2 linked regions of the Oryctolagus cuniculus genome follow. The protein of the gene in region 1 binds, or shares a complex with, the protein of each later gene. Links are inferred from orthologs where the notes say so. Each region holds a gene or a part of one and is shown in the gene's direction. Other genes may lie near its edges.

Region 1 (7,054 bases):
ATTCCCTTATCTTGTTTAATTTTTGTCATACCATTTATTGCCTGCATTATATGCCCCTGTAATATATACTTATGTGCACTTATTAACCCCCTACTAGACTGTAAGCTCTGTGGGACTGGGGACTCTATTCCTTGCTCTTTCCCCCCTCCCTGTGCCTACTCCAATGCCTGACTCAGAATTGGTGTCTAACAAATAGGTGTTGAAGGAATGCAAGAATGAATGCATGTGTATGCATAGAGCCGACAGGGCTCCTGGACGCACACAACCAATGTCAGCTCTATGCAGATGACTCCCAAATTTATATTTCTAGCTTGTGTCCTAGACTTACAACTGCCACTTGCTGGGGGACAACTTCGGGGAGCTGTCCCACCACTGCCTGCAGGCCAGCAGGTCCACAAACGGTCAGGCCGGCTTCTCTAAACTGGCCATCTGGCCTCGCACTCTTCTCATTCTCCTTTCTCCAGCTTCCACATTCTGGCAGCAGCAGCATCTGCGGAGGCCACGCTGGGCAGCCTGCTTCACTGCCATCCCGTCCCTCTCAGCCTTTAGGGAGCGCTCATCGCGTGGCAACCTGGTCATGGAAGTACAAGTGTGAAGACGTACCAAGTCCTCTACACTGTTGCTGTCCACCCAATTTTCTGGTCTCCCTCCTGCACATTAGAGGAAGTGATATGTGTTACTTCTGGCAGAAGCTTTTTTTTTAAAAACAAACAAACAAACAAACAAATATGTCTTACGGGTTAGATCATTCTTTTTTTTTTTTTTTAAGAAAGATTTGAAAGGTGTGAGTGACAGAGGAGGAGGGGAGGCCTTCTATCTGCTGGTTAGTAAATGGCTGCAACAGCCAGGGCTGGGCCAGGCTGAAGGCAGGAGCCCAACACATCATCCTGGTACTCGGGCCATCCTCTGCTCCTCTGCTGCTTTCCTAGGTGCATTACCAGGGAGTTGGATTGGAAGCAGAGCAGTTGGGACTTCAGCTGGTGGTTATATGGGATGCTGGCATCGCAGGCATTGGCTTAGCCCACTCCACCACTACGCTGATCTCAGGCAGAAGCTCTGAGAGCCATTCGAAGTGACAGCTTTTCCCTTCACCGTGAGACAAGCTAAGTTCCAGACAGAGGTTGCTCCATCACTCAAGGTTCCAGAGAAATGACATGGAGTGCAGTCCCAGCCAAGCTGTGGAAGTTGTGGTATGAACAAGCTAAGTCACTTCATGTTTTTTTTTTTTTTTTTTTTTTTTTGACATGCAGAGTGGACAGTGAGAGAGAGAGACAGAGAGAAAGGTCTTCCTTTTACTGTTGGTTCACCCTCCAATGGCCGCCGCGGCCGGTGCACTGCGCTGATCCGAAGGCAGGAGCCAGGTGCTTCTCCTGGTCTCCCATGAGGTGCAGGGCCCAAGCACTTGGGCCATCCTCCACTGCACTCCCTGGCCACAGCAGAGAGCTGGCCTGGAAGAGGGGCAACCGGGACAGAATCCGGCGCTCCGACCGGGACTAGAACCGGGTGTGCCGGCACCGCAAGGCGGAGGATTAGCCTAGTGAGGCGCAGCGCTGGCCAGTCACTTGATGTTCTTAAAGAGACTAAAATTTGGGGTTGAGTGTTACAGCAACATAACCTAGCTCACTCTAAATCAGTCCAGTTTCTTCCTAACTCCTTGAGTCATTCCTCGCAAGTCACAGTCTAAGCCCCTCATCATTGTGACCGCCATCCTCTGGATGCCACTCATTTTTGTCATTATCCTTCTTTAAATGGAGCCAATTCAGAACCCAGAACCTTAGGTGCAATTCCAGCAGGGCCCAGCAGGATGGGTTTCTGAGCCCTGACTCCTCTCTACAGAGCCCAGTTGCTTTGGAGTCTGTTTCTCTGTGTCCTTTTATCTTTGGCTGTGTCCTGCTGTTAACTCTCTTTGAGCTTCTGAATCAGTAAGTAGAGCCAAAAGGTTTTTCCCACTGACTCCTCAGTATTTAGTTGGGGAATCAGCAGCATTTTACAACTGTTATGTGATCCTTTACCTATTTGTTTTTCTTTGAAAAGCAGAGCGCACCCTGCTAGGCAGCAGGTGACGGCTCCGCTCTAGTAGTTGGATCCCTGCCAACCACGTGGGAGACCAGATTGTATTACGTGATCTTTTAAAGCCAAGTTAGTGGCAGAATCACTTACAAAGACTGTACCGTCTATCTTTCGGCCCCGGCTAGGCTGCTAATCTTCATCATCTCGTGTGCAGAGCCAAGGCTGCAGTTACAGCACCAGCAGGACCAGCCACACGTCAGGACCAGCCTGAAGGCTACCACCGTCGTCTGCGCAGAATCCAACCAGAAGGCTGGAGGCGGGGACCCACTCTCCCACGCAGGCGCCTTCAGATAGTCGACCCCTCCCTCTCCCGCCGCATGGTGACGCGAGGAAGCCGCAACTCCGCCCCCCATGGCGCCGACACACAATGGGTGGTCGCAGGCCTTTCAAGTGGGCGGAACACAGCCTGGGAGCCGTCCTGGTTGGCCCGCGGCCCGGCGCGGCGCATGACGTCATTCCGACGCCACGTCGCGTTGCGTTTAAGGCGTGGCTTCTGCTGGGGCGCCTGAAGGAGACTTGGGGTCGGCTTAGCAGTTCCCCTTGGGCAGTTTGGGAGTCGCCGTTGTTGCAGCTTCTTTGCGCTCCATGAGGAAGATGCTGGCCGCTGTCTCCCGCGTGTTGTCTGGCGCTGCCCAGAAGCCGGTGAGGCGGCCCGAGCCAGCGGCCTGGACGGATCGGGATGGAGCGCGAACGGGACCGAGGCGGTGCCGGAGGAGGCCGAAGGGCGGGCCGGGCCTCGGGGCTCGCAGTTAGACGCGCTGCTTGGATTGGGCGCTGAGTAAAAGATGCGGCGGGGAGCCGGGGGAGCTGCGGGCTTTTGCTTTTGCCTCCACGCCGTGCATTCTGCGTCTAGTCTCGGGGGGGAACGGCGCTGGGCGGCCGACTGGGGAGGGGGGGCAACCCCTGCCGGGTCCGCGTGGAGATCGGTCACGACTCTCCGGCTCTCCCCGAGCCCAGCTCCGCGCGGAGCGATTAGGTGTGCTCGAAAAGTGCCCGTTGGTTGCAGGGTATGGAGGGGGTGCCTTAAGCTTGTAAGAGTCTTCACTTGACCCCACTCATTTCAGTTCTCCCTAACTTAATGTTTGTCTTGGCTGAGAGGTCCTTTAGTGGGTGTTAGTAAAGAGCGTGGAATCCGGAAACGAACTGGCTGGAATTCAAACAGCAGTCCTGTGAGCTTGGGCAAGTTTTGAACGCCCCCCCCCCACCTTCCACCCCGCCCAGTGTCCTTATCTCTAAAATGTATATGAGGGTACCTACCTCGTGGGGTTGTCTGAGGATTCTACGAGTGACGCGTGCGTAAACGTTTCCGACTAGCACCTGGCACATAGTGGGTACTCTGTGTTGACCGCCCAGTTTGGTGTACGTTTGTGGGTGTCTGAGGGTTTAGACGTGGTCACGCTCCCCAGGAACCCACTTCCTCTCCGGCTTAACTTTTCTTGGCAGTGGAAAGCGGTCCAGCGGAACCCACAGGAAACTGCTCTCCCCCCTTAAGTGCGGGGGGGGGGGGACGTACACACATCCCCTTAGGGTAAAGGTGGCTAAAGGAAATCGCACTTAAGCTATTTGCAGCCCCAGTTTTCAGATGCGCCTTTCACCTGAGCTGCTAGCATTTTGACCTCTGGGCACAGTGAGATGGGGTTACTTGGTATAACTGCAGAGCCAAGCTTTGACTTGTAATTCCGGTTCTAGTAATTCTCCCAGGACTCGATGCAGCTGTGCCTAGTCTGGGCAGAGGTTGTCAAAAGGTAGCGGCTGAACCCCTCTAGGAATCCCATTTACTAAGATTTACAGGAGAATTTGATTGATCAGAACTGTATTGACCTTGGAATTGTACTGGGATTGACCTGATGGCGAAGCACAAGGGGCATTCCTTTTTTCTGCCCACACGCAGGCTCCAGCCACCATTTCTTGAGCTCGCAGTATGTGCTAGGCACTAGTAGATACCTCCCAGCTTTATCTCGTTGAATCCCCTAGCATTGGTTTTTAGTGGAAAAACAGCAGTAGAAACGTGTTTGCAGCATTGTGCAGTGCTTTAGTTATCTGCAGAAGTTAAGTGGCCTTTCCTTTCTGCTGTGAGATTGGATAGACTAGAAGTGCAAAAGCAGTAGAAACTTTGTTATTGAAGCTTCGCACTTAGTGGAAAGAAACAGTTTCCCAGGAACTTCAAAGTTAAACTTGGGAGGTGTCAAGAATTTGAATTGCGATTGGAAACTAATAGATAAAAAGTTTCCACTGTCAAACCTTGCTAGCAGAGTTTCTGCCTTTTCTCTAAGTCATCCCTTTTGGTGATACCGGTTTGTAGATGTACCAGTACTTAGGGGCTCAGAAACACCCTTAAATCGTTATTATTAGGCACTCAGGTTTATTCTTTTCCCCTACCTTCCAGTAGGAAAAAAAATTGAGTTCCAGCAGTCAGGTCACCCTAAAGTACCCAGGCAGCTTCCCACTTGGTGCAAACTCTACAGATAGTTTTCTGTGTGACTATACGTGTCACGTGCTAGTCAACTAGGAGGCATTTCTGAAACTTCTGAAGATGGTAAGGACCAGATGTTTCACCTTTATCTTTTTAAAGGATGGAGTAATAAACCAATGTGTCAGGGTTTACACATTTTATTTGAAAGGCAGAGATGGACTGAGAGAGATCTTCTGTTTGCTCATTCAATATCTGCAATGGCTGGAGCTGAGCCAGCGGGAGCGGGAGCCAGAATCTTAGTGTAGGTCTCCCATGTGGTTGGCAGGAACCCAACTATTTGAGCCATGACTGCTGCTTCCCAGAGTACATGTAGCAGGAAGCTGGACTTGGGAGTGGAGCTGGGTCTTGAACCCGGGTACAGTGGGATTCAGGTGTCCCAACCAGCATCCTAACTGCTATGCTAAATGGCCAACCCCTGAGAATAACTATATTTTGTGATTTTTTTCATACTTATGGATGTCTTTTTATTTAAATATAAAAAACAAAATAATCAAGGTTTTTACTTTCATATATATGTAAAAATATTTTTTGCAAATAAGCCTTTCAAAAATCCTGATAATAATCAACTGCGACTAACCTAAATTAGGCAAATTGGGTACTAGAGTTGCACCATCTGTGTGATACTCAGAGAGGGAGGGGATGGAGAAAGGTCAAGTGGTTCGTTTGATTGATGGTTGTGACACTTTATCCACATTGTGCCCTATCTTGCCTTCCAGAACTCTGTTTTTTCCCCTTTTCATTTTTTTTTTCTTTTCTCCTCTTAAAACCAGGGATGTATGGTGATTTATCTCAGGCTTGTCGATTATCATTGTATCATGACATGTTTGGCAGGAAACTTTGAATGAATTACAAGCTTGTGATTTATTTTTGAATTAAATTGATAGTTTTAAAAATTCTTATAGAAGACTGAATTGCATTTAAAATCATAATCTTTGTCTTAGTGTTTTTATTTGTTGCGACTTCTTTTTTTTAAAGAGGTTTATTTGAAAGGCAGAGAGAGAGAGAGAGAAAGAGAAAGAACTGCTAGTCATTGAGTCTCTCCTCAAATGGCCACAACAGCCAGGGCTGGGCTGAGCTGAAACCAGAGCTGGGAACTCCATCCAGGTCTCCCATGTGGGTAGCAGGTTTCCTGAGCACTTGGGCCATCTTCCGTTGCCTTCCCAGGTTTATTAGCAGGGTGCTGGATCAGCCAGGACTCAAACTGGCATTCTGAAACAAGTGTCAGCCTGACACTGCCACAGCACTGGCCTCAATGACGTGAGATACTTTTTTTTTTTTTTTTTAAGATTTATTTATTAATTTGAAAGAGTTGAGGAGAGAGAATCTTCTATCTGCTGGTTCACTCCCCAGATGGCTTCAACGGCTGGGGCTGGACCAGGCTGAAGCCAGGAGCCAGGACCTTCTTCCAGGTCTCCCACTTGGGTTGTGGGGCCCAGGCACTTAGGCCATCTTCCACTGCTTTCCCCAGGTCATTAGCAGGGAGCTGGATCAAAAGTGAAGCAGCCGGCACATGAACTGGTGCCCATATGGGATGCCAGCATCATAGTGGCGGCTTAGCCCACTACACAACAAGACTGGCACCCTTGGAGATCTTTACTCCTAGTATTCTTTTGGCTTTTTAAATAATAGGTAAGATTTCTATTTGCCATTGGTGGAATCTGGAATTTTTGAAATGTTTTTCCCCTTGTTTTTCACTTGAATGCTTCTAATGTATTTAGGAACTCAAGTTTTTATTTGGGGGCCGGCACTGTGGCGTAGTGGGTAAAACCACCGCCTGCAGTGCCGGCATCCCATATGGGCGCTGCTTCAAGTCCCAGCTGCTCCACTTCCAATCCAGCTCTCTGCTGTGGCCTGGGAAAGCAGTGGAAGATGGCCCGAGTCCTTGGGCCCCTGCACCCGTGAGGGAGACCCAGAAGCTGCTCCTGGCTTCAGATGGACTCAGCTCTGGCCATTGTGGCCATTTGAGGAGTGAACCAACTGATGTACGATCTCTCGCTCTCTTTCTCTGCCTCTATGTAACTGCTTTTCAAATAAATAAATTTTTAAAAAGTTTTTATATGCCGAAATATGAATGGCTCATGGTCTCAAAGTTTGACAGCTCTCCAGAGAAAATCAATGGTAACCTTTTCAGCAATCTCAGTTAAAAGTTACAGTACTTGTGCTTCTGATAGGACTTTTAGCTTTCTTAACTTTGCTCCTTCTTCCCGCTGTATCAGTGGTTCTTAGTTTTTTGAGGTTCATAATAATGCAACAAGCAGAGAAAGGAAGTAGCTGTCAATCAGAACCTTGGCCCTTCCTGCACTCCGGTATAAGCACTTCATTCTTCATTCTTCATTGTTTTTACTTTAGAATTGAGAAGTTGTTTAGCTTTTTCTTTGTTATTATTTCCTGCCTGGTTTGGTCCCTACATTTAAATGCTTCCAAAGACTGCAGTTTCTGCAGTTGTATCTAGAAACTTATTTCACAGTATTTCTGGTCCCTCAAATAATTTGTTAGCCGCCAAAAATAACA
Region 2 (5,113 bases), on another chromosome or scaffold:
TCCAATGTGTTTTTATGTCCCAGGCTTAGGGCAGCCTAGGTGAGTATACAGGAAGAGACTCAGTGGTGTCCTAAATAATCCTGTAGCTTACTGACTACTTTCCTGTATTTGCGACAGGTGACAGTTCGTGATGCTATCAACCAAGGTATGGATGAGGAGCTGGAAAGAGATGAGAAGGTATTTCTCCTTGGGGAAGAAGTTGCCCAGTATGACGGGGCATACAAGGTAACCAAAATATATGAAAGACGCACGCTGAGGTCACCATTTGCCCCGAGATCTACTTGAAAGTTAATGCGGTCATCTCTTGTAGGTTAGTCGAGGCCTGTGGAAGAAATACGGAGACAAGAGGATCATAGACACTCCCATCTCCGAGGTGAGCCTTCTACCAGGAAGCCGGCCTTGCAGGGCTTGTCCGTTAGTGCTCGCTCGCCTCAGTCTTACTGATGTTCACTTCCTTTGTGTTTTCCTTTATAGATGGGCTTTGCTGGAATTGCTGTGGGTGCAGCTATGGTACGTAATAGTCTCTGTGAGGCTCACCCAAAGAGATTTAACATGACGTTTTAAAAATACTGCCTCCCACTCTGCTGTTCCTTGTCTTTTAACATGCATGTTTTTGATCTCACAGGCTGGGTTGCGGCCCATTTGTGAATTTATGACCTTCAATTTCTCTATGCAAGCCATTGACCAGGTTATAAACTCAGCTGCCAAGACCTACTACATGTCGGCGGGCCTGCAGCCTGTGCCCATAGTCTTCAGGGGACCCAATGGCGCCTCAGCTGGTGTGGCTGCCCAGCACTCACAGTGCTTTGCTGCCTGGTATGGGCACTGCCCAGGCTTAAAGGTGGTCAGCCCCTGGAATTCAGAGGATGCAAAAGGACTTATAAAATCGGCCATTCGGGATAACAATCCAGGTCAGCAGAGTGAGCTGTCAGTCTCTTTTGAACAGTAAAACTAAAGTGAAATTTTTATATAGAAGGACCTTTAAGGATTCTAGTTAAGCTTAAATATATTGTATAAATGTTAAAGATTTATAGATGCAGTAAAGATAGTAAGAAATGTGTTTTTTCTTTGTCTTTGGATTTATTTGAAAGAGCTACAGAGAGGCAGAGGCAGAGAGAGAGAGAGAGAGATCCTCCATCTACTGGCTCACCCCCTAAATGGCCACAACGGCCAGAGCTGGGCCAATCCGAAGCCAGAAGCTTCTTCCAGGCCTCCCATGCCAGTGCAGGGGTCCAAGGACCTGGGCCATCTTCTGCTGCTTTCCCGGCCATAGCAGAGAACTGGACTGGAAGTGGAGCAGCCAGGTCCCGAACCAGCGCCCACATGGGATGCCAGTACTGCAGGCAGCGGCTTTACCCACTATGCCACAGCTCCAGCCCCATTGCTAGTTTTTCTTAAGACTAGGAAGAGGCCAGTTAGATATTTACTGCATACCTACAACACTGGTTTAACTTCAGTAGATAGTTATATTTAAGTACTCAGGCCATCATCCAGACTTCTGGACAAAATAGAAATACAGGGGCCGGCGCTGTGTGTGGCGTAGCAGATAAAGCGGCGGCATCCCTTATGGGCACCGGCTCGAGTCCTGGCTGCTCCACTTCTGATCCAGCTCTGCTATGGCCTGGGAAAGAAGTAGAAGATGGCCCAAGTTCTTGGGCTCCTGCACCCGCAAGGGAGACCCAGAAGAGGCTCCTGGCTCCTGGTTTCCGATCCAATGCAGTTCCGACCATTGCAGCCAATTGGGGAGTGAACCAGCGGATGGAAGACCTCTCTCTCTCTCTCTCTGCCTCTCCTTCTCTCTCTGTGTTACTCTGACTTTCCAATAAATAAACCTTTAAAAGAGAAGATAGAAATACAGCTTTCTTAAAAGCACACTGACCTTCACAGTGGATGTAATGAGTTACTTACTTTGGTTTCAATATGTATAACACTTTGCAGTGGTGGTGCTAGAGAATGAACTGATGTACGGAGTTCCTTTTGAACTTCCTGCCGAAGCTCAGTCAAAAGATTTTCTGATTCCTATCGGAAAAGCCAAAATAGAAAGACAAGGTAAGAGAACTGACACGTTTAAGCATTATTTTAAATCCAGCCCTTCTATTTATATTGGTCAAATGTCATCTAGATGTTCTTACATTTTACCCTGATTAAAAAATTACAAGAGTTCAAGTAAAGAATGTGTGATGCCCTGACTTCTCACACAGTAGCGCTTTTCTGAATTTGGGTCCAGTAGATTTGTATTTCATTTCTGAGAAGGCTGCCTCAGTCCTCAGCTCACTGAAATGAAGCTGACTTGAAGACTTGACACAAACAGGAGTGCTGCAGCATCTTTCCTTTTGACCTGACCTCTGACCTGTGGCCACTCTGTTTCAGGGACACACATAACTGTGGTTGCCCATTCGAGACCAGTGGGCCACTGTTTAGAAGCTGCAACGGTGCTTTCTAAAGAGGGAGTTGAATGTGAGGTAAGTGGACATTCACCTGTTACAGAATCAGAAAGGCTCCTTTTAAACTTGGAAGCCAGGGGTTGTACATTGGACTCAGGAATGAAGACGCTGCTTAGGGTCCCACATTCCATTTCAGGGTGCGGTGGATTTTGAGTGCCGGCTCCACTTCCCAGCCAGCTTGCTGATGATGTGCTCCCTGGGAGGAGCAGATGATGGCTGAATGCTTAGAGCAATCTCTCTTTTTTTTTTTTTTTAAGATTTTTTTATTATTTTTTTTGCAAGAGAATTACAGACAGGGAGAAGGAGAGAAAGAGAAAGGCCTTCTATCCACTGATTCACTCACCAAATGGCTGCTACAGCTAGAGCTGAGCTGATCCAAAGCTAGGAGCCACGAGCTTCTTCCATGTCTCCCATGTAGGTGCAGGGGCCCAAGGACTTGGGCCATCTTCTACTGCTTTCGCAGTCCATAGTAGTGAGCCGGAACAGAAAAGGAGCAGCCGGGGGCTGGCATTGTGGTATAGTGGATAAAGTCACTGCCTTCGATGCCAGCGTCCCATATGGGTGCCAGTTTGAGTTCCAGCTGCTCTACTTCTGATCCAGCTCCCTGGATCAGAAAGTGTCTGGAAAAGGCAGTGGAGGATGGCCCAAGTCCTTGGGCCCCTGTTCCCATGTGTGAAACTCAAAAGAAGCTCCCAGCTTCCGAAGCCAGGAGCCAGGTGCTTCTTCCTGGTCTTCCACGTGGGTGCAGGGGCCCAAACACTTGAGCCATCCTCCACTGCCCTCCCAGGCCACAGCAAAGAGCTGGACTGGAAGAGGAGCAACCAGGACTAGAACCCGGTGCTCATATGGGATGCTGGCGTTGCAGGTGGAGGATTAACCAAGTGAGCCACTGCGCCGGCCCCCCAGCACTATTTTTTAAAGATCCCTTGTATGCCTGGATTTAGCATTTTTCCACACCAAAATAAACTCATCTTTTAATTCCTCTTCTACAAACCTTTTGAAGTACCCTTGTATTTGTGATGCAGTGGCTCTATAAAGCTTATTTATTGTATTTCCTCTTTAGGTCATAAATCTGCGTACTATCAGACCAATGGACATTGAAACCATAGAAGCCAGTGTCATGAAGACAAATCATCTGGTAACAGTGGAAGGAGGCTGGCCACAGTTTGGAGTAGGAGCTGAAATTTGTGCCAGGATCATGGAAGGTATTGCAAAGAAAGTGGATCTAGAATATGGTCAAACTGTAACAAACAGTGTGTACCTGAACACGTGTTGAATAGAGAAAAAAAGCTAGGGTAGCCAAATGCCTTGAACTTTGAACTTACTGTATGGTGTTAATATTTTAAAAAACAAAACCAGGCCGGCGCCGCGGCTCAATAGGCTAATCCTCCACCTAGCGGCGCCGGCACACCGGGTTCTAGTCCCGGTCGGGGCGCCGGATTCTGTCCCGGTTGCCCCTCTTCCAGGCCAGCTCTCTGCTGTGGCCAGGGAGTGCAGTGGAGGATGGCTCAAGTGCTTGGGCCCTGCACCCCATGGGAGACCAGGAGAAGCACCTGGCTCCTGCCATCAGATCAGTGCGATGCGCCGGCTGCAGCGCGCCAGCCGTGGCGGCCATTGGAGGGTGAACCAACGGCAAAAGGAAGACCTTTCTCTCTGTCTCTCTCACTATCCACTCTGTCAAAAAAAAAAAAAAAAACAAAACAAAAAAAAAACAGAAAGTCTTTCCCAAAACAAGTATTATTTTACCTTATGCTTTTTCTTCCTGCGCAGCCATTTTTGCCAGCGTGCGAGTGCTCGGCTGCTTTTTCCTGCCCACCTCAGTTGCGTCTTCCTTCTCTCCTAGGTCCTGCATTCAATTTCCTGGATGCACCTGCTGTTCGTGTCACTGGTGCTGACGTCCCTATGCCTTATGCAAAGATTCTAGAAGACAACTCTATACCTCAGGTCAAAGACATCATATTTGCAATAAAGAAAACATTAAATATCTAATTTGGACCTGAAAATCTAGCCATTGAAATTTATTTAAAGTCCTTGCTGGTACCTGGATTGTACTGCAAGATCTCACTATTCATAAAGTAATCTCTACAGCAACATGTGTTTTTGTACTGGGAAGAAGTTTAAATATGTCTGTGTGTAGAGAATTCTCCACTGTGCTGCCCTAGACTCCTGCCTGCTTTTATCTGTTTTAGTTGCCTTGTTCTTTGAATAAACAGAAAATTTTATCCATTGTCACTAGGACTGATACAGATGTGGCAGTCTTAAAAGATATATCCAGAATATATAACTTATATGTATTAAATAAGTGTATAATCTACATTTACTGTAGGTTGTTTTGATAAGGAATAAAGAAATTCCTAACTATGACTAGTTGTGTTTTTATATGCTTGAAAAAAAAGAGTGAAGACTTAAAAGTGTATTAAGAAATTAGTGCCAAATGGAAAATAAGCTGTAACTATAAAACCACTGCCTGTTTTTATTGAGATTTTATCCAAAATAGCAAGACCAACCTCAGAATCATGGCTTGGAGCCAGTATTGTGGCACAGCAGGTTAAGTGACACTGGCGGCATCCACATCTGAACGACAGTTTGAGTCCCAGCTGCTCCAGAAGCATTTTGGTGGTACCCGCTTTTAAGTAGAAGATAGGAATGTTGGGGTGGTGGCTTGGTGC

The links. Proteins that work in one complex are often made in the same cells at the same time.
Region 2: the proteins of PDHA1 (region 1) and PDHB are in contact, whole or in part, in a crystal structure (PDB 3EXE), measured with the Homo sapiens proteins. The link is inferred for Oryctolagus cuniculus from reciprocal best matches to the Homo sapiens genes PDHA1 and PDHB. Residues at the interface, in NP_000275.1 of Homo sapiens: Ile87, Arg88, Gly89, Phe90, Glu137, Leu138, Thr139, Gly140, Gly148, Lys149, Gly150, Gly151, Met153, His154, Asn164, Gly165, Ile166, Val167, Gly197, Ala198, Asn200, Gln201, Gln203, Gly228, Met229, Gly230, Thr231, Arg235, Ala236, Asp296; in NP_000916.2 of Homo sapiens: Glu59, Gln62, Tyr63, Ala66, Asp84, Pro86, Ile87, Ser88, Glu89, Met111, Phe115, Gln118, Ala152, Gly153, Val154, Ala155, Ala156, Gln157, His158, Pro297, Val323, Arg324, Val325, Thr326, Gly327, Ala328, Asp329, Val330, Met332, Pro333.

Annotation. Positions count from the first base shown.
Region 1 is NC_091453.1:5,375,418-5,382,471, forward strand, and holds the start of PDHA1 (pyruvate dehydrogenase E1 component subunit alpha, somatic form, mitochondrial), read left to right. Parts: upstream 1-2,519; 5' UTR 2,520-2,655; coding exon 2,656-2,712; intron 2,713-7,054. UniProt on the Homo sapiens protein: The pyruvate dehydrogenase complex catalyzes the overall conversion of pyruvate to acetyl-CoA and CO(2), and thereby links the glycolytic pathway to the tricarboxylic cycle.
Region 2 is NC_091441.1:91,558,128-91,563,240, forward strand, and holds the end of PDHB (pyruvate dehydrogenase E1 component subunit beta, mitochondrial), read left to right. Parts: intron 1-117; coding exon 118-225; intron 226-310; coding exon 311-373; intron 374-474; coding exon 475-510; intron 511-625; coding exon 626-911; intron 912-1,938; coding exon 1,939-2,049; intron 2,050-2,370; coding exon 2,371-2,462; intron 2,463-3,507; coding exon 3,508-3,649; intron 3,650-4,287; coding exon 4,288-4,433; 3' UTR 4,434-4,808; downstream 4,809-5,113. UniProt on the Homo sapiens protein: The pyruvate dehydrogenase complex catalyzes the overall conversion of pyruvate to acetyl-CoA and CO(2), and thereby links the glycolytic pathway to the tricarboxylic cycle.